2 linked regions of the Notamacropus eugenii genome follow. The protein of the gene in region 1 purifies or fractionates together with the protein of each later gene. This does not show direct contact. Links are inferred from orthologs where the notes say so. Each region holds a gene or a part of one and is shown on either strand. Other genes may lie near its edges.

Region 1 (15,329 bases):
AATTAAACTATGCAAGGAACTCAATACATTAAGATACATTATCAAAGATACATTAAAGGAGTGGAGTTTGCAACTTAGTAGAGAATATAAGACAAATATACATCCAAATCTTACATTACTTAGGCTACACAGTACAATGGTAATACAGCAATATCTTACTTAACCAAAGGTTACTTATCTAGAAATTTTCCCACAGAACTTGGAAGCAAAAAACACCTCAAAGAGGCAAACTGGAGATTTCACAATACATACTAAAATCATTCTCTTTACTCACGGTAGAGCCCACACAAACCACTTCTCACTATATGTTCTTATTTTAATGCAAAATTCCTAAGTACAAATTATCTGGTTCCTTAGCTGTCAAGAAGTCAATACCTTAAAAACTGGGAGGTATGACAAGGACAGACAGAGGGATGATGGCAGAGACAAAACCTATTTTTTAAAGGATGAGAATGAAAAGTATGGAACCATTGGAACTATTCACGGACAAGCAACTCTATATATCACACATATCAATAGCCCCTCATGGTCATCACTGAATTACAGAACAGCACAGTATTTCATGTCCATAAAGATGAGTTCACTGTTAAAAGGCTAAATTATGTTTACTATACTAATAAAATGGCTAAGGGTCATTGAGTCACTTAGAGATACATATCAAATACGTAAAATGTTTGAAAACTTATGTTTTCAAAAGCAAAGGGACTCAGTTCTTGCATAATATCAGATCAATAACATAACACTTCAGGTATTACTTTTGTTATTAATAATAACAACCCTATTTCTCTATCCTTAAGAACCTAAGGGCAGAATAGTACCCTTAAAAAAATAAAACATTTTTACTAACTGAAATCATGATTTACACCACCAGGAATTTATATCAGATATAATCTAACATTTTCCTCCAAAATGTGCACAGTTTTATTGATAAATCTTTAGCATTTAATTTTCATCACTATTTTCTGATCATACACAAAAGCAGCAATTTGTGAAGGCTATACAAAAAGACTGATGTTATTTCAAAATCTGCCTTCCTTGTACTTATTTCCAAGCATCTTCTTAATCCAATTACGATATTTCTAATAAACCTTTATTAATTTACTTAACCATTTCAGGAGACAAGCCTTTAAGAACTGAAACCCAGTATCTGGTTGGTGCTTAATGAAATTTTCTAATCTGATGAACCTCTCCCTGGATCAAGTGGCTTTCTTAAATTTCTAAATATTCTTTAGAGGATCCTTTAGGAGGCCTACAAATCTGGGTTCTTAAATTTGGCTCAGAGTATTGAGATCATGGAATATTTCTGAAAAGGTCTTATGAATACTTTGTCTCACATACTAAATTAAAATGGGTAAAAGTCGAGCACAAGAATGAGAATAAAAAAAAAAAACTTTTAACAAATGTAGCTTGCATTAGGTGGTATCCCTTTTTGCTTTCCTCCTTTTAAGATCTATAAAACAAAGAGCAGTAATCTACTCGTATAAATCACCACTGTTTGAGAGACCTCCTGTGAGGCAGAAATAGCAACTTATGTAAGATTTCCAAAGTACTTTTCATGTATTATCACATTTAGTCTTCACATAGATAAGGAAACTGAAGCTGAAATTAAGTGACTTGCCCAATATCACTTTCAGTGGGGAAAATAAAGTAATTGCTAGACTTATCTTAGAACTTCTATCCATCGATTTTCAAGATCTTCATGGTTCTGTTGTTTTCTTCTTTCATAGGGCTAAATCATTTAAGATCATCTTAATTATAACAGTAAGAGGGCTGGGAACATTCTTAAAATTATTTCATATCTAATTCAGTTTTCCAAAGGCACCTGGGGCCATTATAACTTGAGCTTACTTGTTTTTTTCTTCCAAAAAATTTTCAACAATCTGAACATACCTTGTAGAAACCTACAAACTACACCTAAAAGTCAAGGGATAGTGTCAGGAAGACTTAGATTCAATTCCTCTCTGGCCCATACAAGTTGTGTGACCCCAGATAAATCAACTAACTTCTTATTAATTAATTACTCCATGGAATTCCTAAAACTAAGTTACAGAAAAACTATCAATTTGTATCTGTAGTTTTCTCACCTGGACATCCCCATATAGATGAAATCATCTAAAAAAAACAAAGCCATGAATGAATAAAGACCTTGCCCAATCCCTGAAATTAAAACAGCTCACAATCTGTATTATCAAGAATATTTCAATCTTCCCATATAATACCAAATCTTGGGACTTATAGTGGTTCTTCCAACATCCATATCCTTGGATATAATCCAAAGTGCAGGATAAAGATTATCAAAAATCCAATGAAGTAGAACAAATGGATTACCTCTTTAAGTTAAATATAAGATATTTTTTCTTATTTTTTTATGCAATGGTACAAGCAATTTAATACCACAAACTATTCAAAATCAAAAGCTGAAGACAGTTTAAAATATCAACCTTTTTAAAAATGAACTGATTTATAAAATGAACTCAATATGCCAAGATTTAAATGATTTAGGTATGCCTAACTTCAACTTCAAACTAGCCAATTAAATATGTATTGAGGGAACAATGCATATTAAGAGGTCAATGAGATATCTAGTCCAACCATTTTACAGATGAAAAAACTAAAATGTAGAGAAATCAAGCAATTTACTGCAGGTCACAAGTGAGGAATTAGTTGAGCCAAGTATGAAGCCTACATTGTATAGTCACTATCATTAAAAATAACAAAGCCTCACCTTTACTGAATGATGTGAGAGAGGAAAATTAACTTTTACTTTTGATCAAAAGGTGATATATTTGGATTTATCTGTAAGTAAACCTATTAAGAGATCAAACATAGAACTACAGGATGGAAATTAACTTAGCAACCTTAAAAAAAAAAAATCTAAGTACACTGCAAATGATCTTGAAAGGGGAATGTACCTCTGAACTTGGCAAGTCCTCTAATATAAACTCAACCCAAAGCATTTGTGCATTAACGATATTTTACCAAACATGCTCAATTCGGTTTAATTACAAAAGCAGTAATCACAATACTTTGATTTAGGGACTAATTAGAAATTTGTAGGCTATGACCCCCCACTCTTTTCTGTTCTTTCAGTGCCTGCTTGCATTTACATAAAGACAGAATCATTTAGGAAAACTGACAGGACAGAAAACTAAAATTAGATCCCTTTGTTTATTGACATGGAACCTTTACCAAAAACGAAAAAAAAAGGAAAAAAAGACAGTGAATATACAGGACCTCTGCCTTTAATAAAAGAAGCAGTTCACCTAATGGAAAAATCTCACTCTCACACAGACACAGGAAATCATACCTAAGTGAACTACTTAAAATTAATTATTACTTACCTAGCATTATTGACTTTATATCACCAGTTAATTTAAAGATGACAACGTTGTCGTTTCCATCAAAGCTCTAAAAATATTCAGGGTATTTCTGTCAGAAAAATTAAATGCGTTATAAGAGAAATTATTACTTTTTGTCTTTCAAAATTGTACTAATTAATGAAGATATAAAATTACCTCATATTGCAAATGGATATACATTATTTGTTAACCTTTCCCCTCACTTCTCTAATGGAAAAGATATTTTTTCAAATGTCAAATATATTCCATCCCCCCAAAATTTAAATTTTTAAAAACTGAAGCAAATTACGTGAAAAAAAAATTAACCTTTCAACCTCAATTAACCTAGTGAAATTAACACTGATTAAGTTTTTCAAGAGAAAGGTTAGGGAAGCAAAAGCAAAGAGAAAATTGGAGTTAGCTACCAAGTAAACCTGAAATTTCTCTCTCTCTCTCTCTCTCTCTCTCTAGTTCTCCCCTTTTAGATGGAAATGAATGGACTAAAGCTTTCCTTTTTAGCTTCTACTATCATCTTCTACTAATATATTGGTTTACTAACATTTGCTAAAGTACAAATTATACTTTACAGCAAAAGTCTTGATTTAAAACCAGTTTCAATTAACTATATTTCACTTTTTCCCAGCCATAGGCCACAACCTCATTTAACAAACAGAAAAACTTTTCCTTTGTAGTTTGACACTATTTACAACCTTAATCTTTCTAATTAGGGGGACATTAAGGATTTAAATTCTCTCTTTAAAATGTCAATGCTGTATGTATCCTATTTCATAAAATAGTAAGCTCTCTTCGCATTCTGCATCTTACTCAAACAAAAAAAACAATGTGATATGCAAAAATTTTTATAAATATAAAAGGTTCTGCTAAAAACTAGCTGTGTAACCTTGGACAATTGATTAACCTCTTAAGACATGTCACCTGTAAGATAATGAGGAACAACTCTAAATCACTTAATATAAAATGAAGGGTTCAGACTACATGAAATTTGACAAGATAATCTTTAATGCTAAATACTAAGGTTTGAGATATAATATAGAGTCATTGTGATCCTAGGCAACTCATTTAATCTCTAGGGGCCTGTGTTTCCTCTTCTGTAAATGAGGGGGCTGGACTAAATAACCTCTAAAGTCCCTTCTAGATCTAAATCTTTGACCAATGACTCTACAATAAATATGCTAAGTTGGTTAAATCTGTGTCAATGAGCTGGTGTCCGCTCTTAACTCAACCAGCTGTTTTGGAAAAATATGATCAGGAGTCATAAACAGATACAAGGAAAGAGAAAGACAGCTCAGCAAACTCTCTTAACCCTAATGAAACAGAAAAGTAACTCAAACCATAATTCCCTATTGGAAGTAGGTCAGGAATTTCATCTTAGTATATCAAGCAAAGCACAGAAATTATAGTTGTAGAATTTACATTAAATACAAATTTTAAAAAAAAAACCTGTATTCTATTATTTTCCATTATTTCAACAAATTACTTTGAAGTACATAGAAAAAAATTATAACTGATAGTGCTAATGGAAAATATACTTCCCTAGTTGACCCACATAACAGGAAAATATTTCTATCCTCCATTTTACCTCGGTTCAACATTTAGAATATTATTCTTACATGACCACTACAAATCCGTTAAACTGATTAACATTCAACACATATCTTGGAGATAACAAAAGACACAACAAAAAACAGAAAGAGTTTTATAAAATTTAGTTAAGTTCCATGCATTTCTGTCTACAATTTCCCTTTGGTCAATTCCAAATTCTCTAGTAAAAACATGTATTGATTTAGCAACACGAAAACATTTAACATTTGCTTTGGCAAATTAAAGCTCAATTACCATCAAATCAAATTTTTATTTTTAAATGGCTTATTTGACCTATTTTCATCAAGTCCCAGCTATTTTCTGAGTTTTTTTCCTGTACCACTGGGGGAAAAATTGGAAATGTATTTATCTGCTCTTACCAAAACAACAACTCCATTTAAAAGCAATCTTCATAAGCCTGCTAGTTTCAGCGACCATAGAAAGAGCCAACTCCTCACAATTTCAGTGCTCTTATTTTTAAAGTGATGGACATACACAAAAGTAGAAGAAAAATGCCTGGCCCCTGAAATGGCAATTACATATAGGAGACACTATTTCTTTTACTGTTGATTGTGTAGCGTTCCGATTCAGTTCCCTTTCCCTTCAATGTTTTGGATCTTTAGCCAAAGAAGCATGCAGGCACTCCCAAAATAGAAGATTTAAGGGACCACTTTAATAAAAGCCAAAAGAAAAGCACTATCACACAAAGAGTGAATTCGAGATCCCATTTCATTAGTGTGCAGATTTTGTCAGAAAAAACTTACACATCTTCAGATTTTACCCATGAAGACTGTTCCATCTCCCCGCACCCTCAAAAAGTGCCTTTCTCCAGAAGCCTTCAGAGAACAAAATAAGCTACAACAATGGAAGAAAACAACACTCTTTGGTAAGAAACGTGGAGAGAGAGAGACAGACACAGACACAGACAGACAGACAGAACCAAGCACAAGTCTATACCCGGCAAACCAAAGCCCATAACGCAACCCGCTTTGTGTTTCCCAGCACCGTGTGAACTCTGATTTTCGGCAGTTTTCTCAAGGACTGACCAGCTGCTAGCTCCAACTCCCACCAAAACAAAGGTCTGCAAGTCCGCGGGCCAGACGCAACGGGGAGAGGGAAGCGGGCGGGGGGCAGCGTGCCCCGCGGGGTGGATGCCCAGCACTGGGCAGCAGACACGTTAAAGACAGACGGGCAAGGGCGGGGGGGGAGGGAATTAGCACTCCTTTCTCCAAACTAGTAACAAGACCGCGGCCGGAACCAGGTTCGGGGGCCTTGGTCACGACACCGCAGACCCGGAGCAGGGACGAAAACGAGCCTCGAGCTGGAGGGAGGTGGGCTGGCCTCCCGAGAGACCGCACCTAGCCCCAGGCCCGGGGAATCCGCAGCCCAGGATCGGCGGGAGTTAGCGTGCAGCGCCCCCTCCCCAAGAAGCCCTCCCGGGCCGAGGCCGACACCGCCCCGGCGGCACTGCCCCCCGCGGGGCAGCATGGCTGCTGCTCCGCCTCTCGCACCGGGGACAGCCGCGGCCAGCGCTTCCCTCCGTCTCACAGAGGCGGCCGGGGGCGAGACAGAGGCCAAGGCCACGATCGCCGCCGGCTTCTGGCCCTCGGACCCGGCAGAGGCAGGAAAGAAAGGGAGAAAGGAAGAAGCCGGGGGCCGGGCACTGCCCAGCCCCATCCCCGTCCTCCCCGCCGCCGGTCGGCCGGCCAAAGCCAGGAGACGTCGGGCTTACGCACCCGCACCCCTGGCCCCCAGCCGCCCGACCCCCTCCGGTCTCGAGCGCCCGAATCCCGGCACGTCACGGAGGCGAACGGGACAAGGAAGGGTGCGGAAGGGGGGGGGTGGGGGAGAAAGGAAGGAAGAGATGACACTCGGGAGTTCCCTCCCACGCTCCTTCGTGGACCCCTCGCGCCACCGCCCGTCCGCCTCCAGTCACCCCGACTTCTCCCCGGCCCCCACCTTCCGGGCTACCGCCGCGGCCACTTCGCAGGCTTTTCTCTCCGGCCAACAACCCCGCAGCGCGGAGCCCGTGGACGCGCGGAGACGTCACGTGATGGCACGACGCGCCGGCGCGCCCGGGGAGAGGGGGAGGGGGAGGGGAGAGAAGGCGTGTCGGAGGCGGTGCCGCGCGAGGGCGGGGGTGGGGGGGCGGTTGCGCAGTCCCGCGTGCCTCCCGTGCCAGTTGCCCTCCCTCTATCCTTCGGATTCCGCCTCTCTTATTTCCCTGACCCTAAGCCTCCACCGGGCTGGAAGGGACGGAGGACCGGTTGGCCTGTGACTTGGCCTTCGCCGCCGTCCCCGCGTGACTTCCTCTCCGGGTGTCGTGTCCCCAAAACTCGCTCCCACCCCGCCGCCTGAATTTTTCTAACCTCCTGTTTGAATATTTAGTTCCTACGTGCCAGCCAGCCGAGAGGGACGGGGCGGCGTCCAGACGTCCAGCCCCTAGCTAGGCCATCTTGGGTCTCCGGAGGCCCCGGGCTGGCTCGAGGCCTGGAGAACGCGTCCCGGAGCCCTCGGGGCTGGTGCGGGATGCACGGCCGCGCCCGGGACCAGCATAGCCCCGGAGCCCGCGGCCTAAGCGCCGGACCCGGGAAGGGGGCATCGGGTGCCTGGGCCCCTTCGTGACATGGATATGTTTTTCTCAACAGAAAGAATTCTCGTCTGTATCAAAGCTTCTGGCTAAAAGTAGATCAGCCAAATCGCAAAGGGAGTGATTATTCTTTACTACCCACGGCATGCCGTTCTTTTGCGATTATGTGGACATTGAATCTTTTTAACTGAATCTAAACGTTCTCTCCTTGTACTGAAAGAAGGGGGGGGAGGGGAATTGGATTAGAGGAATGGTAGAATGGCAAATCACCAAAAAAACCCAAACACAGCAAACAAAATAGCACTCCTCCAACTACTGCTGTTTTCATTTTAAGGTTCTGTGTATTTTTTGTCCAATGATTCTTCCCCCATTGTGTCATCAATACCGTTATTTTCATCTGCCAAGCCAATTTTTCCCTAAGCTGTGACTGGCTTAGATCCTGCCATTTATGTCAGTACTTGTAAGGTTTGCAGAGCACTTAACATTGTCTCATTTGAGATAGTTAAGTCACTGTATAAGTGCAGCTTGCTGGCTCGTATAAGTGCTTGTGTTAGTGGCTCCATTTTCCAACCCTGAATTCTTTAAATTAGTCTTAGCCAAATTCACGTGATTTCTTATTACAAATAAAAATGAAATGGGACAGATTCTGTGAGATAGTTTTAATTTCCTGTGCCTTAAATGCTAGTTATGTACTCATAAAAGTTTCCCCCACTTTCAGATGGCATTCCTGGTTTTTCTCATTCTACCTTATTAAAAATGTTAGTATATCTAAGCTTTATGGAAAGCAAATAAGTTTCTTTAATCAAAACTTATTTTTTTTCCAGCAGATTTCAGCATTCAGATTCCTTGGTTTAGTAACTTGTGGAAATGTTCTTTTTATTTTTTAAAAAAGATACTCCTGTTGATTTTAATTAACCACATAAAGTCAGATTTACCAGAAAAAAGTTAAGTTGGTTTGAATACACTCATATACAACTTAAGGACAGATGTATTCTCATCCTTAATAAGTGACCGATCATCTAATTCCTGATGTTCAAAAGTAAATTTTATATCAAGGTATTCAGTAACATGATTTAAGGTAATTTAACAAATATTTTGAAACCTTACTTTCATTTGGTTCTCTAAATCATTTCCCAAGGTTGGGTGAATATGTATTGCCTTAGAAATAAAGGAGATCACATAGTTGAGCTCTGAAAACATTTCAGTTTTTCCACTTTTGCATTTGGTTTTCCCCAGATATATTTTCCAAACTTTTATTTTCCTTGACATTTGATTTTTTAAAATTTTGTTTCTAATTGTTATCCAGATATCCTTCATGTGCTTCTTCTAATAATTGTATTCATGATATAACATTGCATTTTAGCTGTTTTTATTTTAACAAAACTCCAATAAGAAATGGTGGTCCGAAATAATGAATTCTGTAGAATAAAGCAATCTGTAGCATAGGGAGAGGTGAGTCCAGAAATTAGGATTGGTCTTTATTTGGCAATTATGTTATTTTGATAAGTGTAAATAGCCAAGGTAGACATTTTAGGCCCCAAATCCACTTGAACACAGCGAGAGAGTGAATAGAAAACTTATTTATGGATATTAAATATAGTTTGCAAGTCAGTTATTTGAACTTTGAATGATTTTCCTATAGTTTATAAAAGGACTGTTTACTGTCCAAGCCAGCCCACAAACTTTTTACTCCTGATGTAGCTGAAATAGCATTAATTGTAGTTTTGAGTTCTGGGTCCCAAGTTCCTTCTGACCCATCAAGAAGCTGGATATTAGCATGCAGGCTGTGGTAGCTATGTGTCTCTTTCTCTCGTGGCAACATAAGAAGCAAAGAAGAAATAGAAGAATGATTCATTTTTTAACTTCATATTTCAATACAAGCTATATCATTATTACTAGAATTGTCTCACTTAATGTTAGAACATGAAGGGACCTTAGTAATCATCCAGTTCTACTCTCATTTTGTACATAAGGAAACAGAGGATAGAAAGGTCAGAGATGTAGACCTGAAAGAGAGGCATCTAGTCCAAATCTCTCATTTTATTGATAAAACAGGTCTAAGGAGATTAAATGACTTGCTTAAGGTCAAACATCAGGTAAACCTCAGAGGTAAGATTTAAACCCAAGTCCTCTATCTCCCGAGCCAGTGGTCTTTTCATTGTACCATGCTACCTCCTTATATATGGCTGGATATAGTCCAATACTTTTTCTAATACCAGCAGAAGAATGAACCAGTTGCTTGGGGTGGAAGGAGGGTGAGAGGGGGTGAAAATGTGTTTAAGCTCTGATTACTGTCTCTGCAAATGATTTAGATCTAAGGATACGCTGCTAGTCTTTCTCCTGAGCTCCAATTCTGTACTACTAATTGCCTATTAGATATTTTCCTTGGATGACCAATATTCACCTGAAACTTAGCATGTCCAAAACAGAACTCATTCTCTTTATCCTCTAACTCACCCCTCTTATGAACGTCATTGTTTCTACTATAGGTACCACCACCCTTCCCCCTCACCCAGGTTAAAAGGTCTTAGACATCAACTCATCACTCTCCTTTATCACCTCCCACATCCTATCAGTTGTCAAGACTTGCTGATTCTACTTTCACAACTTTTCTCAATCCATCCATTCCCTTCTCTCTATTTATATTGCAATCACCTTAGTTCAGGTTGTCATCACCTAGTCTGTACTGTTAAGGTAGCCTATTGAGTAGGAGTAGTATCCACAGTGTGGATCAGGTTAGGATTTTTTCCCCTAAAAGGAAGAGTTATCCTTGAAACTTGATTCAGGGGCCTAACATTCCAATGGTTGATATGAGTTTCTGATCACCTAAAGGCACAAATGAGGCCAACCCATGAGTAGTCAGTGCCCTTCAGACACTGAAGTACCATGAAATTTGCCACATTCAATATGCTTTACTGACCAGAGGTGTTTTCACATGGAAATGAGAATGACCTACATTTACCAGACAGAGATATAGCCTAGCTGAATATCCTTTCCATTCTATAGCTAAACAAACTTCTTTTTGTTAACTGTTAGATATCCCATGGGTATCTCATTTTGTTCCATTTTCAAACTTGAAACACCAAATCAACTCACTAAGACAGACTCAGCCTATGATAGCTTCCTAATTGGATTCCCTGCACCCAGTCTCTACTTTAATCCATCTTCCATACAGCTACCAAAGTGATATTCCTGAATCACTGGACAGATCACGGCACTCCACTCCTCAGAGAGTTTTGCTGGCTTTCTAATTCCTCTAAGATAAAAATAAAAAACTGTTTAACATTGAAAACCTTTTACAACCAATCTTTCTAGGTTCATTAAACTATTACTCCCCTTCTCAAATTCTACATTTTAGCCAAACTGGCCTACCTGACATTCCCCACATCCACCATTCTATTTCCCATCTTTGCAATGCTGTTCCCCATGCAAGGAAAGTATTGCCTTTCTTGTGACAACAAGGAGGTGAAACAATCTGCCTAGATCCCATGGAAGCAGGTCCTACTGGCAACCAAGTGGGCAAAGACTCAAAGTTTACCAGCAGGGACACTCATGTGGACAAAAGCTTACCAGAGGGGGCACTCATGTGGACAGTGGTATAGCCCATCCCTCTTTTATTTTGCTATAATTTAGAACTGATAGAGCCTCTCTACTAGTACAGTACCTGGTGTTTTTATTTTTGTTTGTTTTGTTTTGTTTTTGACAGCTCCTCTGCATAGAGTTTAGAGTTCCAAGGGGTGGCACTGTTTGAAGGTAGCTTGCCTTCTTGTGATGGGGAAAGTGAAAAAGTCTGCCCAGCCCCTCCAAACTGGAGGAAAAGAGGCAGTCTTTTATAAGTGGAATCTAATAGGGCTAAAATCTGGTAGGCACCCACCCACCCTACCCTTAGGTTCCTGGGGAGAAGGAGATAGGAAGACTTTCGCAGTACAGAATGATTCCCACTACCAACCCTAAGAGGCTACACGTAGGAAGGCAATGATGTTTTAGCCACCTTATTACAGATTACCCAACCTGTGATGAGGATCAGTGAGTGACCTCAGTAAGTGTCATCACCTGGGCAGTAGCCTTAATGTGCTTGATGCAGATCCTACTCATAGTAACCTCTTTGTATCCGGAAACCTACTGTGAACTGAAATTATTTGGCATCACCAATGTACCATATCATTTAGGTCCATTATTCTGTTCCCTTGAAAGTGGAAAGTAAGGCCTGGGATTTCTAGTCTTTGTTTTCACCTATTCAGTCATTCGTTCAGGGAGTTATCACAATTTTTTTTTCATGTTTTGTTTTTGTTAGCTTACTGGGTTTATTTTTCCCCACCTTCAGTGCCTTCTAAGTCAGAGTCCTTGCATCCTTGATGTCAAGGTTGTTTAGTAACAGTTCATAAGAGAAGTGATTATTTTTCCATTATTTTAATAACTAATAATTAATTTAGGATTAAAGCTTTTTTTCTTTATGTCCTCATTCAGGGACCAGCCCCTGTAAGGCAGTCAGTCTCTGAAAGACATTGTTGATAGATGACATTGCCCAAATCTTCAGGAACATGGTCCTGGATCTTGGGCAGAACCACACCCAACTACAAGACTTTACTTCTGGTTAAAGTGTAAACAGAATCTAATCTAGAGGAATTCTAGCCCCAAAGCAAGTCCTTGCACCCCTCCAGTGAAGTTGGGGGTAACCCATCTCATGCAGGGGAAAATGAAGCAGTTTGGGTAGAGATGTATTCCTTTGTTCAGATTACTGTCTCATGATCAAGCCAAGTTCTCAGCAGGAAGAGCTGAAGGCTTTCAGCCTGCATCCTCATTTGAAAGCCCACCCCCTCATTACTTGTTCATCAATCAATGTTGAGTTTTTACCTGTCAAGGATACCCCCCTTCTCAAAGATATTTAAGCATTCAGTGATCTCCATGGTTTTGTCTTTGGTTACCAAGAGAAACCACTAGCCATCAATTTATTATCAGCTAGCCTAATTAATACATTGATTATTAATTATCCAGAAACTCTACCTCTCAGCCTTTTCATTCATCTCATCCATAAACCATTTATGGGACAGAAAGTCTGGTAGAAGACTGTTAAGATCTTAGCACCAAAGGATGGGGTCTGATGAGAGCAACATCCTAAGGCCTCACCCCATGCAAGTGAGGCTGGTTTTTCCTTAAAGGTATTGAGACTGTACTTGAGATTTAATTGGTTCAGGACATTAGGGTTCAAGCCATTGGTATAGCTTCCTGGTCACCTGCTTAAAATCAATCACCAACACCACCACCCAAAAAATGAAAGACTGGGGGTCCTCTCTTAGATTCCAAATCTAAGGTACTCTCCTCCAAACTAGACTGGTTATTCTTGGCCGGAAACAGAATGTCCAGGATAGGGTCTTATTCAGATGAGTGTCCTGGTATTTTACATCTGAAACTGTAGTGAAATCAGACACATAGTTTATCTAACAGTTAGCTAACAAAAAAGGTCTACTTAGCCAAAGAGCAGGGGGAAGACTTTCAAAGTCAGTGCCAGTTGTCTTTCCATTCTATAGTTAGAGACCTGAGGGAGTAGCCTCAGCCCAGGAAATCCTGAATGTTTCAGATTAAGGAGATAAGAAAGATATGACAGTGTCCTGAGCCTTAGTCTTCTGATCCAATAAAGTTTCAAAGACTGTGTCAGTGCCTTAAAAACAAAACAAACAAACAACAACAACAAAAAAAAAATTAGTCCAGCTTGAATGATGGAAAGGGAATAGAAAGTGAGGTGAGGGTTAAAGGTCTTAGGATATTGCTCCTACCACATCTTACCCCTTGGTGTTTTAATGGTGTTCTAGTAGACTTCTAATCACTTGAATGACATTAGGGCTATTACAAAAGGAGACTTGTGAGACATCTGCTAACATAGGTGGCACTGAAAGAAAAAACAAAAGCAGATAGACTACAGACACAAAACATGACTTTAAAAAAATGCAACGGTTCTCCGAATAAGTAATTGAATATGGGAGGACAAAGACCTAAAATTCCAGGCCCTATGTCTCCTTTTGGGATCAAATGATTGGTCTAAATGATTTCGTCCTCATGTTGGGTGAGGGTGATGCCATATATTTGCAGTTCACAGTGAATCACCACCAGGTATATCAGGGCTACAGTGCAAATGATGACACTTGCTGTTGTCATCTATCCTCATTACAAGAGTCAGGTAAGCTAAAAAATCCTCTTGCTTTTAGCCTGTCCTAGTGCCAAGGTAACTATCAAGAATCACCTTGCTGTATCATCTGCTTGGCACCCTATCAGCTAAGAACTCACCCTGTCTGAAATCTCATGGAGGATACCAGAGTTTTGTTTCATTATGGGGCTTTTCTTTACTGTCTCTCTAATGTGAGGGGCTGAGAAGGCTGCTTTACTTCCCTCCTGCCACCAGAAAGCACGTCACTTCCCAAAACAGCCACTCCTTGGTCTTCCAAGCTCTCTAGGGAAGAAATTGTCCAATGACTACTGAATGTGTATTAGTAGCAAAGTGCAGAGGCCAATCATTCTAGATTACAGTAAACAAAAGGATACAACGTACCCTCCTTTGTCACTGTCTGTGCTATAACCCACCGTACTAGATCTGTGTCTCTAACCATACCCCTTACACTGTGTCTCAAGCCACCACTCACTGCTATTGCCACTGAGGCCTACATAGTGCCTGGCATATAGAAGGTGCTTAATAAATGTTTCATGTTATTGTTGACTGTGCCAACAAAGCTGTGTTGTGTTGTATCCCTCCTGTGTCTGGACCTGAGTGTTATTTCAGGTAATTGTCACTGCCCCATCTTGTGTTGAGTATTGCCAATACAGGGGTCTCCCTCTGTCCCTCTGTGCTGGGCTCCTTATTATTTCCTCCCCCATGCCCATCCCAGCTTTCACTCCACTTCTTATCATGTAGGGGTCTGGACTTACTTGCTCCCCTTAGTATGATGGGTGGAGTATTGCTATGGACCTAGCTGCTGCCCTATGGATATAAATCCCCTCAGTTTAGGGGCATGAGCATTGCTACAGCATTGCCAGTGAAGGGCTTTCCTCTCATCCCCCATGCAAAGACCTAGAGATATTCCCTATGTTCTGCTTTGTGCTGCCCTATTTTTTTCTGAGCTATATACAACACATTACTGGTGCCACAGGCCAGAGAATCACTGTCCCTGGGAATAAGCCCAGAGTTTGGGTTTCTTCTCCTGGCAATTGTCATCCTTTTTTGATGAAGAAAATTTCTCTTGATGTCAGCTCCCAACAGAGAGATGACCCAAAAGCTCTTGATGTCTGGGACTCACAAGGCTGCCATCAAAATTAGTAATGTCCAAGTCAGGATTGCTGACCTGTGTTCAAGGAAAGATACAAAGCAAAAATAAAAAGACACAATGCCAAAGATTTAATAAGGCCAGTACATGTGCCCTGTCTTATGTAAGCAGTAGCCTTTTCTAACAGAGTTGAAGGGAGCAGGGGAAGAGAAAACCATAGCCTGAGCTCCAGAGTGCTCTCATTGGAAGACAAACAGAGAGAGAGAGAGAGTTAGTTAGTTCATGGTTCCAAAGCAAGACTGGAAACTCTCTCTTTTTATTTTTTTAAGTTAAATATAGAAGTAAGCAATGACTTCCTTGTTTTATTGGTACCTTTGGTTTTTTAAATAACAATCATTTCTTGGTATACAGCCCTTCCCCCCAACCCTATGCTCTAATCCTCATTGAGCTTGTGATAAAGAAACCAGTTGAGCAAAACCAATTGACAGAAACAACTTCATTTGACAGTATGTATGACATTCTGCCCCCATAGTTCCCCACTGCCTC
Region 2 (15,329 bases), on another chromosome or scaffold:
GCATGGTCTTCTTTGGCAACGAAGCATGAACACACATACCCCACTGATGAGAGGCATATCCCAATTTGGGCAACCCTTTTCTTCTTACATCTCTGCCAAGAAATCATTAGATCTCCACCTGAAGACTTAGGATGAGTCCCCCTCCAGAAATCCCAAATTAGACCAGAACCTAGGGTTTAGGTATTAAGCTCTGAAGTCTATTTCTGAGTTACTCATAAATCACACTAGTTTTCTGTTCTTCAGCAGGTTTGATGCCAGTGCTGTCAAGGCAATCAACTGGATGCCAGGATTGCAAAATACACCTCCAACTCTACCCATGAGTCAAATTTCTTCTCCATTGTATATGCAGTCTTAGCTGCTCTTTGTGAGGATGAGGTAAAACTAAGGGGGCTGACTATAGAGGGAATATTTTCAACTTAATTGAAAAAAAGTTTTGTGAGGGCAATTCAGACCTATGATGTCATCAGTGTAAAGAACCTTCTTTGTGGATGTGTGATACTTCCCAGCCTCCCTTCACCAATGCAAACCAGCAACTCTGGTCATCCACTGTTTTAATGACTGGATGAATGAAAGCCTTGAAAATAGAGTAAAAAGGAAAGAAAATCCTAGTCCTCATGGAGTTTATATCCTAATAGAGCTTTCTAATGTAAGTCAAGTGGAAAAGCCTAGGGGTCTTTAGGGTGCTGGGGCAAAGCAGATGACTTCTTCTCAAAGGTCATTGCCATTGATAAAACTATGTCTTCTTCTGATAGGGTCAAGGTCTTTGATGTGTTGCTGGAGGCAAACAGAGGTTAATTGCCACGATCTTTGTCAAGTTGCTGTTCAGTAGTTTTCAGTTGTGTCCAACACTTGGTGACCCCATTTGGGTTGCTTGTGTGTGGGATGGCTCAGGTCCCTACATAAATCAATTACTCAGAGGCCTCTCAAAGTGATGACAGAAAAGAGATTTATTCGATTCTCGAGAATCTGGACAATCCTACACCAGTTCACCTGGAGTAGGAAAAGCCGAAGACAAAGAAAAGACAGTGATTTATATAGACTCTAACGCAAGTCCCTCCCCCCGCCCACTGACCATTATTCTCATTAGCTGAAAATATGATCTTACATTCTAGACATGAAATCTAACCAATCCCTTTGGAAATGAAGACATTGAAGAATTAGGTAAACTTTATCCAATCATTGAGACCCTAATGTACTACACAGTTTTATATCCTTATATGGAATTATTCTGTTCTAAAAATATAGTAACCTTGAGCCTCTCAGTCTTACCTCACCCCTGGAAGAAGAATTACAATCTGAGAAGTCTTCACTAAACCTATCCCACTCACTTGGAATGATTTGCCATTTCCTTCTTCAGCTCATTTTACAGAAGAGGAAACTGAGGCAAACAGGGTTAAATGACTTGCCCAGAATCACACTGTTAGTAAGTGTCTGAGGCTGAATTTGAACTCATAAAGATGAGTGTTCCTGATTCCAAGCCCAGCACTCTTGGTCATATAGCTAGTCTATTAAGGGTAACACTTAAAACCAGATCTTCTCGTACCCAGAACTGACCCTCTATTCACCATTCATCTTTCAATTTGAAGAATGTAAACATTAGCATATTAATAAAGACTATGGTCACACATTAACACAAGTAATATCCAATGATACATTTTTCAGAGATGCTTATAATTTAATGGTAAGTTCCTTAAAGTCAGGGAATATCTTGCTTGTCTTTGTGTATCTGCAAGGTCCAGTGATGTTTCTGGCACATAGTAAACACTTATGTTTATTAAATGTTTTTGATTAATGAATTTCCTGATAGGACTCCATTGACCTCTGGTAAATTTCTATGCCCCGCACATGGTCAAAACAGGAAACTGAATTGTTTCATGATAACACTGAAAGGCAGTGTTGGTATCTCTGGGTTTTTCAGACCTCCCCCCCCATTTATTTTGGTGAGTGGAAGCAAGAAATAATAGCAGTAACAACAATAAAAGGAGAAATAATGACAATGTGGAAAATGGGAGGAAAAGAATGTTTTCACAGGGTGAGTTACAAAGTTCTGAAACAAACAACGCCATGCAGTGTCTCTAAATATAAAATGAGGAGTCTATCGGAGCCTCCTGTACACTAATCAAATTGTAAAGCCTTATCCTTACATCAAAAACAAAACATTTTCCCAAGTACAAGGTGATGCTGGGGGAGGGAGTGGGGCAGAATAGACAACTGTTTATCTGAAAAAGTGAAACTTAAGTTCAATATGAATTAGTAACATAGATTTTTTTTTTTTGTGGTTCAGTCTTTCTTCAGTTGTCTGACTCTCTCTGACTCCATTTGGGGTTTTCTTGGCAAAGATACTGGAGTGTTTCACCATTTCCTTCTCTAGCTCATTTTGCAGATGAGGAAACTGAGGTAAACTGGATTAAGTGACTTGCCCAGGGGAACCCAGGTAGTAAATGTCTGAGGTAAGATTTGAACTCAGGTCTTTCTGACTCCAGGTCTGGTGCTTTATTCATGGTGCCACCTACCTGCCCAAATAGTGAAATAGTGCCATGTGGTAAATAGACCTTAGACTTCATGGATAGGCATAGGGTCCAGAAGTAAGGAAGGGAAAGCCCTGCTGCATTCTGTCCTGATCAGAATTCAGCTGGAATATTGTGTTCATTTCTGGATGCCACATTTTAGAAAGAACTTTGAGAAGCTGGAGACCATCTAAAGCACAGGTTCTTAATGCTTTTTATGTGTCCAGGATCCCTTTGGCAGTCAAGCAAAATACATGGAACATAAAGACCCCTTCTCAGAATCATGTTTTTTTAAATGGGCAAGATAAATTCATAGGATTACAAAGGAAACCAGTTATAAACCTGGAATCAGGAAGACCTAAGTTCAAATGTCACCTTAGATGCTTCCTAGCTGTGTGATCCTCAGCAAATCATTTAACCTCTGTTTGTTTCAGTTTCCTCATCTGTAAAATAGGGATAATAATACCACCTACTTCACAGGGCTGCTGTTTGGACCAAATGAGGTAACAGTGCTTGGCACATATTAAGGATTCTGTAAATGTTAGCTATCATCCTCATCACCATCATCACCATACATAGAAAGATGTAGGGGTGTTTAGCCTTATTGAAGAGAAGAGTTGGAGCAGAAATGATCATTTTAAAAAACTCTGTGAGGATTTTCATGTGTTAGAGGAATTAAGACCTTTTTCTTCATGACCCCAGTGGGTAGAGCTCTATGTCATTGGTTGAAGCTACAGAGGCAAAAAACAGCCTTAAAACCTTCCCTAATAGTGAGAACTATTTAAAAGTATCCTGAATTGTGGGTGTCACTCTCCCCATCACCCCAACCCAGAAGTCTTCAAGCAAAGGCTGGATGACCACTTCTTGGGCACGTTGGGGCAGTTGGGTGGTGCAGTAGATAGAAGCCTGGACCTGAAGTGTGGGAGATGAGTTAATGTCCAGCCTCAGACACTTACTACTTGTATGACTCTGGCTAAGTCATTTAGCCTCTGTTTGCCTTAGTTTCCTCATCTGTAAAATGAGAATAATAGCAGCACTTACCTCACAGGGTTGTCATGAGGGTCAAGTGAGATAATGTTTGTAAAGTGCTTTGAAAACCTAAGAGTCTACACTGTTCACACAAAGACTAGCAGATATTATATTGTAGAGAGTATTCTCATTCATGCACAGGTTAGACTAGGCAGGGCTTCCTAGACTTTTTCCACTTCTGACCCCATCTTGTGTTTCACCAGCATTCGATGGCGTTCGTGGTCTAAGGGCACTCAAAGTGCAAAGTGCACATGCTCTGTGTGTGTGTGTGTGTGTGTGTGTGTGTGTGTGTGTGTGTGTGTGTGTGTGTATTCAAAACCAAGGCTGCAGTGAAGCTGCAGATATAAGTGCTACCAGGAAACACCTTGGATCCATTGCATGTTTGATTTTAAATTAATTTTTGGTTGGTGCACTTTCAGAAATCTTTTACTGTTGCTAGATTTTTCATGCTCTCATAAGGGATCACGACCCACAGTTTGAAATGCTAGACTAGATGACATCTGATATGACCCTATCAATTTTAATCAATTAATAAATATTTATCATTTTATTATGTATGATTCCAGGATTCTGTATGTAATGATTGTTATTCTTATTTTTGAAAGGAAAATTTTTACTCCAATATAAGGATAATCAGGAACTGGAGAAAATTGGAAGTAGGTGTTTCAGAGCAGTTTCAGATCTGTTTCATGGGAACTCCTGCCAGGGCGTTAGAATGAGGGTGGGTGTTGGGTAATGGAATCAAACAAAAACTAACAATTTTTGAGAAAGAAGCATGGTCTTGGTCCTATGGTAGAGTTGTGAAAGGTTACTGAGTCTCATCCTGGGGCCTCCAAGGGATTTTTTTTGGGAGCAGGGTTTTTGGAACAAATCTGGAAATACAAAATGTGTAAATGATTTCCATTGATAAGGAAATTCTATGGGAATCCACCCAAATAGAAGGCAATCTGGGAATGGGAAAGGGGACTCTGGAAAATGGTAACCAGGCTTAGGGCAAAAATAGCAATTCCAAATTCCTGCCTTAGACTTCAGACACAGTTACTGATTATGATGATAATATGCCAACATTCTTTTAGTGATACGAGGGTGACTCCTCTGTGAAAATTAATTTATATGTATACAAATTCACTGTACAGTTTACATAGTTATAATTTATATGTGTATGTTAAATATTAACATATTGCATATCACATAAAATTTATATTAATAAATTACATATTATATACTTATATATGTATATATAAGTATGTGACATGACATCATTATATAAGTATATAAATTATATATTCAATCAAATAAAATTATGATAAATTAAATCATATAATTGACACATATACATACATATATATGTGTACATACATACCTATATACTGTAATACATATATAACATTTGGAGAATATGGGAAATGTTACAATATGTATATGTGTATGACATATGTATATGTATATATACAGACATGTATATTGAGAACTTGAGGACTATATCTTAACAGTTACATGGATGAGAGATAGGTATCTGTCCATTCTGTATAGGTAAATAATGTTGGTGAAAAATGAAGATTCTCTTCATTTCTTGATCCACTCATATATATATATATACACATATGTATGTATATATACACATGTATGTATATATACACATACACGCACATATATGTATATGTACACACTCACATATACACACATATGAAGGAGTACCTTGGTACAGGTGAATTTTAAGAAGAATAGCGTTAAATCAGGAGAGGGAAACATTGATGATGCCTGGTTTGAGGGGAGAATAATCTGCTTTTCCTACCACATGCCACACAAAGGCACTTAGCCCGGGCTCACTTGCTGGAGAGCCCTGATGACGACATCTGGCTAGGGAAACTGACACGATAAAGTCTGGATCCTCTGAGCTCGTGCCGCGGGCCGTCAGTTCAATCGGACCCCATTCAGAGTCTGGATCGAAACCATCTCTGTGCCCATCAAACACTTTATCTCCAGAGCTTGGTCAAACGGACTTCCAAAACATGGTCAAAAGGCAGACAGATTACAAACAGACTGGGGGGGAGGGGAGAAATGGGGAGAGCCTTTGGGACCCAAAATTTTGTGAAAATGAATGTTAAAAGTTAAATAAATTAATTAAAAAAATTACAAACAGACTGGGGGGAGCCTTAGGGTCATAGGGAAACTCAAGGCACGGTTGCCCGTAGTGTTTCTTGTAAAACTGGCTTCTGAACCCGGTGTTCATCTGGTCCCAGAGGAGTTACATCTGGCTTCAGTCCCAAGCTTTACTTCTTGGGCTGTCTTCACCCCAAAATAAAACGGGGAAGCCCCTCCAAGCGGATTCAGGAGCCGCGTCGAGAGCGGGCTGTGAAGACCGAGCACCGCGTTCCAAGGCGGTTCCGGGGTGATTGTTACCCAGAGCGCCCAGGTTCCCTGCTGTGCAGGGATGCCCCGGGGCACTGAGGCAGGTGCCAGCCGGGCGTGGGAACCCCCTCCCGCAAGTGCGCGGCTGGAGAAAAATGCCCCCGGGGGCACGGTCGTGCCTCCGGCAATGCACGCTCTTGGCAACTTTGTGTTTTTCAGTTTATTTTTTCCCTAAAGAATTCTTTTTTAGAAACAAATCACAAGGTCAAAGAACGAACCGGCCCGTCCAAGTTCTGATTAAGTGTCCAAGAGGGGCAGAAGGAGACCTAGTTTCCAGGGCTACTCCCGAAGGCGCAGCCCCGGAAACCTCGGGGTCCCGGGCCACGGGGCAGGAGCGTGCGGGGGGCAGCGGTCCCCAGGCGACCCCGGGGTTTCGCGAGAGCTCAGACTGCGGGAAGCCGACGGGGGCGGGAGGTTCCCTGCTGGGAAGGCAGCTGAGCCCAGGTGCGGGGCGGGGAGCGAGGAGCCCTCCCCCGGCTCGGCCCTCCCCGCCGGCCCCCGGGCGGGAGGGACTGCGCCGCGCGCCAACCCAGGGGGCGGGGAAAAGCCCGGATGAAACCAGCCGCGCGGGGCCCGGCCCACTCATCGCTTTGAATTCCAGCGCGGGGGCGGGCGCCGCCCTCCTCTTCCGCGCGCTGATTGGTCGAGGCCGGGGCGAGCCTGCCCTCGATTGGGGCGTGCCGCTGTCCGTCTCCTCAGATCGCGGGGCTGGGTTTGTTGCGGGAAGGAGACGGCGGCGTCGTTCGACGACGACGGGCGGAGGAAGGGACGCGACGTCGCCGCCGCCGCCGAGGCAGGAGCTGAGGCAGAGGTGGGGTGAGGGGAGGTGCGGAGCGCAGAGGCGGCCAGAGCTTCGGCTTCGCATCCCTCTCGCGGCGCGCTCGCTGCTTTCTCCTCGCTTTTCCCCAGCGGCGCGGCCCGGACCCGAGCGGCGGAGGCGGCGAGGCGAGGCGGGCCCGGGGGGCCTGAGAGCGGCGGGGTCCCGGACCCCGCCTTCGTGCCCAGCGCCATGTCCTGGATGTTCAGGAGGTGAACGGGCTGTGGGGGGGGGGCGGGTAACGGTTGTCCCCCGATCCCCAAATCGGCCCCCTCCGGGAAGTCCCCGCCGTGCGCGCGCCGGGTGGGAGGGGCCCCATCCCCGCCCCGACCCTCAGCGAGGGGTCCCCGTGTCCGAGACCTTGGCCCGGGCCGCTGGGGGAGGGGAAGGGGCGAGGGAGGAGGAGGGCACCGGGCATCGCCGCCCCTCACCTGTCCCGCTGCGGGAGTCCCGCTTAAAGGGGTCCGAAAACCCCCAAACACGCACAGCCCCGACCTGGAAAGAGACCGTGCGGTGCGGCGAGCTTGACCGGAGCGCTCTGTTTACCTCCCTTTAGGACGGACGCGCCCCAGGTGTTCTTTAAAGTGTGAGTTCCCCTTACTGCGTTTTAAACTTGCGGCCCCGGAGCCCACGCGCGGAGCTCCCGGGGGCCCGACCCCGCGCGCCGCTGCGGGGCCCCGGGCTTTTGTCTGGATGGTTCGGAAAGGAAACGCCGCTCGGGATGCGGGGCCGGTGGTTTTCCTCGGACGTAGACTCTCAAGTTTTCCCCGGGCGGGGGCTCCCCGTCTGCGTGCCCGAGCTGCCCCACAGTGTTCGGGCACTTGGGGTGCCCTGAAGCGTGAAGTGGGGGGGAGGGGGCGTTTGTATGTTGGAGAGGCAATTTGGGGTTCTGGTGAGGAGTCTGAATCTTACCCGTCCTCGGACCCTTCATGGTGCTTGTGTACTGTATATGTATACGTATGTAACATGTAGCGTGTGTGTAGTGTGTACATACATGTGTGGTATGGTGTGTGTGTATAGTGGGTAGTGTGTATGTAGTCTAGAATGTGTGTATATACGTATGTAGTACGGTGTGTGTATGTGTAGTAGGTAGTGTGTGTATAAATAGTACATGGCATGTATATGTGGTATGTGGTGTATGTATAGTATGTAGTGTGTGTATATACGTATGTAGTACGGTGTGTGTATGTGTAGTATGTAGTGTGTATAGTGGGTAGTGTGTATGTAGTCTAGAATGTGTGTATATACGTATGTAGTACGGTGTGTGTATGTGTAGTAGGTAGTGTGTGTATAAATAGTACATGGCATGTATATGTGGTATGTGGTGTATGTATAGTATGTAGTGTGTGTATATACGTATGTAGTACGGTGTGTGTATGTGTAGTAGGTAGTGTGTATAGTGGGTAGTGTGTACATAGTGTGTGTATATACATATGTAGTACGGTGTGTGTATGTATAGTAGGTAGTGTGTGTATAAATAGTACCTGGCATGTATATGTACTATGTGGTGTATGTAGTATATAGTGTGTGTATGTATAGTATGTAGTGTGTGTATAAATAGTATATGGTGTGTGTATAAATAGTACATAGCATGTATATATAGCATATGGTGGGTGTACAGTATATAGTGTGTGTACATATATATATGTTTACACACTATGGGTACGTACACATAAATGTATAACAAGATTGTGGCCCCCCTGGAACTAATGAACCCTTTAGCAGTGGAGATAAACACATTTAAAATGCAGATTCACTGTACAAACACTATTGGCTTTTCGGCCTGGAATGGAGGCCTTAGGGAAGGTTCTAGCAAGGTGCTCTGGGACTAACAAGAGATCTTTTCCTGGGGCTTGGATCTAGGTGTCTTCATGGTGGGGTGGGAGGGGTTGTCAGTCAAGAAACATTTGGTGCCTACTCTGCCAGGCAGAGACAGAAAGAGGTGGCACTTGAGTTGGGCTTTGAAAGCTGGGAGAGATGTTCTAGGATGTAGGGAATTGTGAGAGAGAAGTTTGAAAGAGTTGGTGGAGTCCCTACTGGGCAGGAATAGGGAATCTGGACTTTATTTTATAGGAAAGAGGAGGAGTATGAATGCTAGACTAAGGAATTTGAACTTCATTCAGTAAAAAGGAGAAGCTATTGAAAGTTTTTGAAATAATGTACACAAACCACTTAGCAAACCTGAAAGCACTATAGAAAGTGCTTTTAACTATTATTTTCTGAGTACAGTATGTATGATAAAACAGACTTGTACTTTAGGAAGATAAATTTTGCTTTGAGTCTGGGTGGATTGTAGAGAGAAGAGACTGTGAAAGGTGCTGGGAACTTGAACTAGAATGGTCACAGTGGAAATGGAAAAGAGGGGATGCATTTTATTGATTTATTGTAAAAACTTGTTGCCTGGATATATGTGAGTTGAAGCAGAGAGAGGCAAAAGGTGACTGAGCAGCCTGACCAAATAGTGATGATGCCATTATCATGGAGGAATTGAGGAATTCTGAGCTGCTAGGAGAGAGGAAAGTTACTAGACTAATTTGGCCAGAGTAAGGTAGAAATGCTGGCGTTGCATCCGTCCAAATGCAGGTGTCAGGCAGGAGTGGGAAATGTGGAACAGGATCTGGGGAGAGGTTGGAAGCCATTGGCACAGAGTAGCAATTGAAGCACTGAAAGGAAGGTGGAAAGAGAGCTAAAGAAAAAATATTAGGATTTTGCTGCTTCCATATCCGTCAGTGGAAATTTTGCATAGTTTTTGTACTGATTTTTGAAATAGCATAACATATTAAAGTAAGTTTTACAAAGATTGGTGTTTCCAGACAGATTTTGAAGAATAGTTTGGATAAGTGGTTCTATGTGCAAAAAACTGAAAGAACCTCCACATTATTCTTTCATTTTTAGTATCTGTTGATTAAGAGAATACATGATAAACTATTGTGATTTAAATGTTTTTAAGTGAAATCCTGATTTATTATAGTACTGTAGCATTATGAGGCATAAGTGACAGAGTGGATAGACACCTAGACCTGGAGTCAGGAAGACCTGAGTTCAAATTCAGTCTCAGACATTTACCGTCCTGCGTGACCCTGGGCAAGTCATTTAACCCCTGTTTGCTTCCATTTCCTCATCTGTAAAATGGGGATAATAGTAGTACCTACCTCCCAGGATGGTTGTTGTAAGGATCAAATGAGATGATTTTAAGGGGCTTAGCGTGGTGCAGAGTAGGTACTATATAAATTTTAACTATTATTAGAATTCAGTCTGTAGGTTTGTTTAACTTCTACTGAATCATTAAACAGAACTGGTTAGTCTTGAATCGTTGACCAAAAACTGTATCCTCAAAATCCAAATCCAGCACCAGCATTGTATAAGGAATTGGGGGGAGGGGGGGCGGTTTGTGTGTGTGTGTGTGTGTGTGTGTGTGTGTAGAATATAAACAGCAATTTTTTTAATGGCAAGAGTTTGCTAGAATCTTAGCACAAATCCATTGCAGGTGTGCTTGAACTTTTCTGTGGACCTAATTGTTAGTTTGATAAAGCCTTTTGACCCCTTTTCAAAATAATGTTTTTAAATACATGGGATTACAATGAAAACAATTACATTGAAATACAGTTAGCAAAGTTTTCAAATTAACAGATCCAGGTTAAGTACTTGTAATTAAGTACTTAAGTACTTTTTAAATACATGGGATTACAAATGAAAACAATTACATTGAAATACAGTTAGCAAAGTTTTCAAATTAACAGATCCAGGTTAAGTACTCTTTCATGACTTAGTCATTAATGATGTTTATGTTTTCTGATTTATATATTTAAATGTACTGATTGATATGTTTGGAGGGAAGACTGGTAGCAAGCATATGCTACGTAAATACAGTAAAACGCTTAGGAAATGACTCTTAATTGTAAATCACTTTTGGAGAGGAGAATGGCTATTTGATAAAATTTCGTGCCATGTGAACATCAATTTGATATTTCTAAAATTGCTGTTACCTATTGAAATAATCATACTCTCATATAGTAGAGGTAAGCTATTTTATAATGGCATTATTTTTAATCCCCTCATTAAGATTTTGACATACAGGTAAAGTTACAATATAAAGCATATATTTTGAATTAAAAGAAAGTTTTTTGTAAATAGGTTGTCAGCCACATGGAAAGGAACATGTGAAGTCATTTATTCTGCAGGACTTTACATTTCATAGTTGGGGTGACAGATGTATTATAAAGATAATCTGTGGTCATGGGGAAAGAATTTGGGTAGGTCATGTTTCAGGAATAGGGGAAACGAGAGGAACTATACCATGGGACCCTAAAATGAAGGTCAAGAGGTATTGGACTTGGGTGGGAGGAGCCATTGGTCCAGTTATTTTGGACCAAGTTTAGAGATGGTGACTTTTAAGGGATTGTTGATTGGAATATTTGGTGTGTACGTACTTGATGTGAGCCAGAAGAGGGTGGTATATAAAAAAGATTCACTGAAACCAAATGGGCAAAATTCTCAAAAATCTGTTCACAAGGATATAGAAATAGTACTTTATAAAACAGTACACTATTAAAGTTATATTCCTTAAAATTGGATTTTACCTGAGTGTTTAGAAGAAAATAATTGGAACCTGTTTTAGGTATTCAGAATACGTTACATTAAAATTGCAGGATATATAAAATCTATAAATACTTTACTTAATTCCAGGAAGAAGAGATACTAAATTTTCTGAACTAATGGTTCCTAAAAGTAGTTCAGTCAAGGGACAATGAGAGGTCCTAGATGGACCATGTCACTTAAAAGGGGAAAGAGGGAGAAACCTTGGAGCAGGAAAGGACCTTATTGATCCCAGTTCCTTTGATGCCAAATTTGGTTTGTTTGTTTTTTTTCCTTTTTCTCCAGTTTTACCATGCTGCCTGTCAACCCCTCATTTTATAGATTGAGGACAAAAGTGATGGGACTTGGTCAAGGTCATTCAGTTAATGGTAGAACCAAAGACAAGTATTATGACTCCCAGATCACTACCATACAACCTTCCTTATATATCATCTTTACAATATTGAGTAACAATTTGCTTATATTTAATAAAAAAAGACAACTTCATGCAAAGTAAGACTTGACTTCCCGTCCTCCCCCCACCCCCCTTGTTTTAAATAGGGATCCTCTTTGGAAATATTTGCAGTCATTCCAATATGGAGTCCATGGAAGTTTTTCACACTGCACCTATTCCAATTTATTTTCTCCTTTTGAGCCTGAAGAGGTCCCTCCAGAGGACTTGATAGCTAGTGATGAAGATCTAGATTCAGTTTTATTTGGAACTTTGCGAGGCCATGTGGTTGGATTACGATATTACACAGGAGTGGTAAGTAGAGTATGATGGTTCACTTGGTTTAGTAGTCTGGATATTAATTCTACAGTTGAAATATTCTCAAAGGAAATAATGTTTAGCAAATGCAATTTTCTGTGGTAGGGTTTACCTTAAATTAATTACAAGGTAGTTAATGGTTTGGTAAGAAGGAGAAAATGATGTTTTCAAAAAATGCTTATTACATGCTAAATAGTCAGTAGTATCTTAAAAGATCTATCATAATATTTTTGTATTGTATCCTTTACTTTTTTGATATCTCTTCCCTTCTTTTTCTGCCCCATTAAAAGTGTTTCTAGCTCTGCTTTTGTGGTCTTTTCACTATCTTTCTGTGCCCTGTGCCTCTTTAATCCATGCATTTTCTCTGAATCTTTGCTTTTGGACCTTATCTACCTCTACAAGAGGTACTGGTTTCCTCTGTTCCATATATGAGTTTCTGTCTTTTGTTACTGGTGTACCATATGTAACGTGTTTCTTTAAGCTCTTGCTTCTCCTCAATCATGTAGTCTAATTTTGGCACTCAATAAGCTACCAACAAAGTAGACAGTTTTTGTTTTTTAACTGAAGTATTGTATGTTTTTATAATGGCCACTTTGCAAAAAAGAAAGCAGAAAAGGCAGCACTGATGAACTAATAAAGATGAAATGAGCATTTGAAAAAATTCCAACAGCTATATCTATTGTGACAGAATTTTAAAGTGTTTGATGGTTAGTCTTAGCAAAATAGGATATTTTGGGAATTTCAAAACAAACTCTTAACTACAAAATTAAGATACAGTTTTGGTAAATGAACAAATTGGGAGGGGTGAGGATTATCTGGTTAGGACTAGCTCTTTCAGCTATGAAAAAGGACAGTACCAGAAAATAGAGTTTACCACATTATGTGAGAAGGGAGAGAGAGAGAATATCCTTCTACAGCCTTAGTCAGAAATCCCGGAAAAAGTGTTCTGGGTACTACACTGTAAGCTTTGAGTAGTACAGTTTAAAGGAAGGTACTATAAACTAAACTTATGTTTGATATTTTATTAGGTTAATAATAATGAAATGGTGGCACTTCAGAGAGAACCTAATAATCCATATGACAAGAATGCAGTGAAAGTGAATAATGTCAATGGAAATCAGGTGGGTCACATAAAGAAAGAGCTTGCAGCCCCTTTGGCCTACATCATGGACAACAAACTGGCCCAAGTTGAAGGGTAGGTGTTTGGTTTGGAGAATTTTACAAATACCTTAGGCTAGTTCTGGAGTTGTTTGTATTTTTCTGATTGGTAATCAGTTATCTTTTCTTAAGTCTATAAAGCACCAACCACCTTTAATCATAGCTAGTGTTGTGGTTGAAGATCAACCATGAAAATGTCTTGAGAAGTTTCAGCAAGTGGAATGTTCATGAACAGATCAAACAGCTGAACATTAGTCTCTTCACACACCATCTCCATGCCTTTTTATCTTCTTGTAATTTGTAGGTGTTTTCATAGGTAATGGCGAGTTAGGTGACTTTTTTTAGGTGTTTGGGTTAGTATGTGGGAAGAGTACAACTTAAGAGTAGTTGTTAATTGATAGCAGAACAGTTCACTTAATGCTTTAGCTTTACTTTCTGTGTCTTATGGTTATTCATATTTATATGGAAGTTTCTTCACTTCTTCAAAAGCAGCATCTACATGCTATAAGACATTCTTGGGTATAAAGAATTCACTTTAGTGTTCATAGCAAGCATTTCCTATCTCTGTCATTCGTTTGACACTGACCATATACTACCTTGTATTTTTATTTATTTTGTCTGGCCTTTTGTTTGTAAGCTTCTTGAAAGCAGAGAACACCACTTAACTGTTTTGCCATTGCTTAGGGAAGTGAAGTGACTTAATAAATGTTCATGGATAATTCTAATTAATTTGTTCAGTAGAAATCTTGTAACCAGAACAACAAAAGTAGTGTTTCATTGGACTTTTTTCTGATTTAGAAACTACTTAAGAGTTTTCAGTATCTTTTAAAAGTTGGCTGTTGAAAGCGATAGATGCAGGAGCAGCCCCTGATGAGCCTATTGCTTTGCCGATTGTTCTGAAGTAAATCCAAAAAGTACAGTCTCTGTCCCTTATTTCATTCTCAATGCATATAAATGAAACAACTAAAGGATGAAATGGCACAATGTAATCCAACTTTGGATATGTAAGTTATAAAAAGAAATTTTATTTCAAAGTTCTTTTAAGTAGCATGCTTGGCAGTTTTAAAATCTTGATGTTGTACCTTGCTTTGGCACGCTAATGGTCATAATGCTGTCAGTAGTAAGCGAGATTTATATCATACCTTAAGGTTTGCAAAGCACTATAGAAATTCTCTCATTTGATCTTGTAAATAAGTTGCTGACCCTTTTGGTGTAACAAGTTTCTCATAAGATGTGGTAATAAATACTATGAAGATTTCATATTTTTTAGAAATTTACCCTCTTTAAGCTACTCAGAAATAGGATAGTGTGTAGTAATATGTTAAATTCATAGGTATTTCTGACAAAGAAATAAAGCCTGTTTAATTATGAGTCTAATCCTTCAGCCTACTTGACACCTTCTCTATGAAGCTGAAGTGTAGGAAGAAACGGGAAGGAGCTTGTGTTGGAAGTGGGAAGAATCCTTATTCTATCAGTGCTTAGTTCTGGAAATCATTCAGGGTCAGCTTCAGTCAATTCTATCCCTTCTTACTTGTTCAAAGACTTCCTTATCTCTTTTATGCTTCAGTTATTCAAGGAGGGTAGGTTTCTCACTTCTTTAAGTTGCCCTATAATCCAGTTATATTATGTTGTAATCACTGTTCAATCTAAATTTATTTATATTCCAAATTGAAATATTATAGAAATTGTCTTACTGCACTGTCTTATCTCTTCTAACATCCTGGTTCTTAGTTAACCTGTTCTCTTATTTTCTATGGCTTATTTTGCTTTTTTCCTGCTTAGTTCTCAGGCACAGTCTTAGCAATAATGAGAGTTGAGGTAGATAAGGGATTTTCATTATAATAGTTCTTCATTCTCTTTGCCTTTATAATTTAAAGGCTAAATTTAGTGAAGATATTTAGTTGTTTTAGTACTTTTGTGGAAAAAATGCTAACAAAAACTAAGGGATTTTCCATATTCCTCATTTTTTTCCCCAAATCTTTGTAGGGTGGTCCATTATGGAGCAAGCAATGCTTTTACTATGCCTGTTCAAATGAGTTTTTGGGGCAAAGAAGAAAATAGA

What was found.
Region 2: the proteins of RNF146 (region 1) and HLTF purify together in Homo sapiens (affinity purification with mass spectrometry; 4 studies listed by BioGRID and IntAct, with this or other methods). This does not show direct contact. The link is inferred for Notamacropus eugenii from reciprocal best matches to the Homo sapiens genes RNF146 and HLTF.

What each region holds. Positions count from the first base shown.
Region 1 is NC_092873.1:211,137,359-211,152,687, reverse strand, and holds the start of RNF146 (E3 ubiquitin-protein ligase RNF146), read right to left. Parts: upstream 7,588-15,329; 5' UTR 7,310-7,587; intron 7,029-7,309; exon of another isoform or gene 6,900-7,028; intron 6,578-6,899; exon of another isoform or gene 6,452-6,577; intron 6,396-6,451; exon of another isoform or gene 5,987-6,395; intron 5,796-5,986; exon of another isoform or gene 5,705-5,795; intron 5,685-5,704; exon of another isoform or gene 5,321-5,684; intron 3,430-5,320; 5' UTR 3,342-3,429; intron 2,113-3,341; 5' UTR 2,085-2,112; intron 1,730-2,084; exon of another isoform or gene 1-1,729. UniProt on the Homo sapiens protein: E3 ubiquitin-protein ligase that specifically binds poly-ADP-ribosylated (PARsylated) proteins and mediates their ubiquitination and subsequent degradation. May regulate many important biological processes, such as cell survival and DNA damage response.
Region 2 is NC_092877.1:337,864,964-337,880,292, reverse strand, and holds the start of HLTF (helicase-like transcription factor), read left to right. Parts: upstream 1-6,720; 5' UTR 6,721-6,957; coding exon 6,958-6,977; intron 6,978-7,321; coding exon 7,322-7,351; intron 7,352-11,901; coding exon 11,902-12,106; intron 12,107-13,137; coding exon 13,138-13,304; intron 13,305-15,253; coding exon 15,254-15,329. UniProt on the Homo sapiens protein: Has both helicase and E3 ubiquitin ligase activities. Possesses intrinsic ATP-dependent nucleosome-remodeling activity; This activity may be required for transcriptional activation or repression of specific target promoters.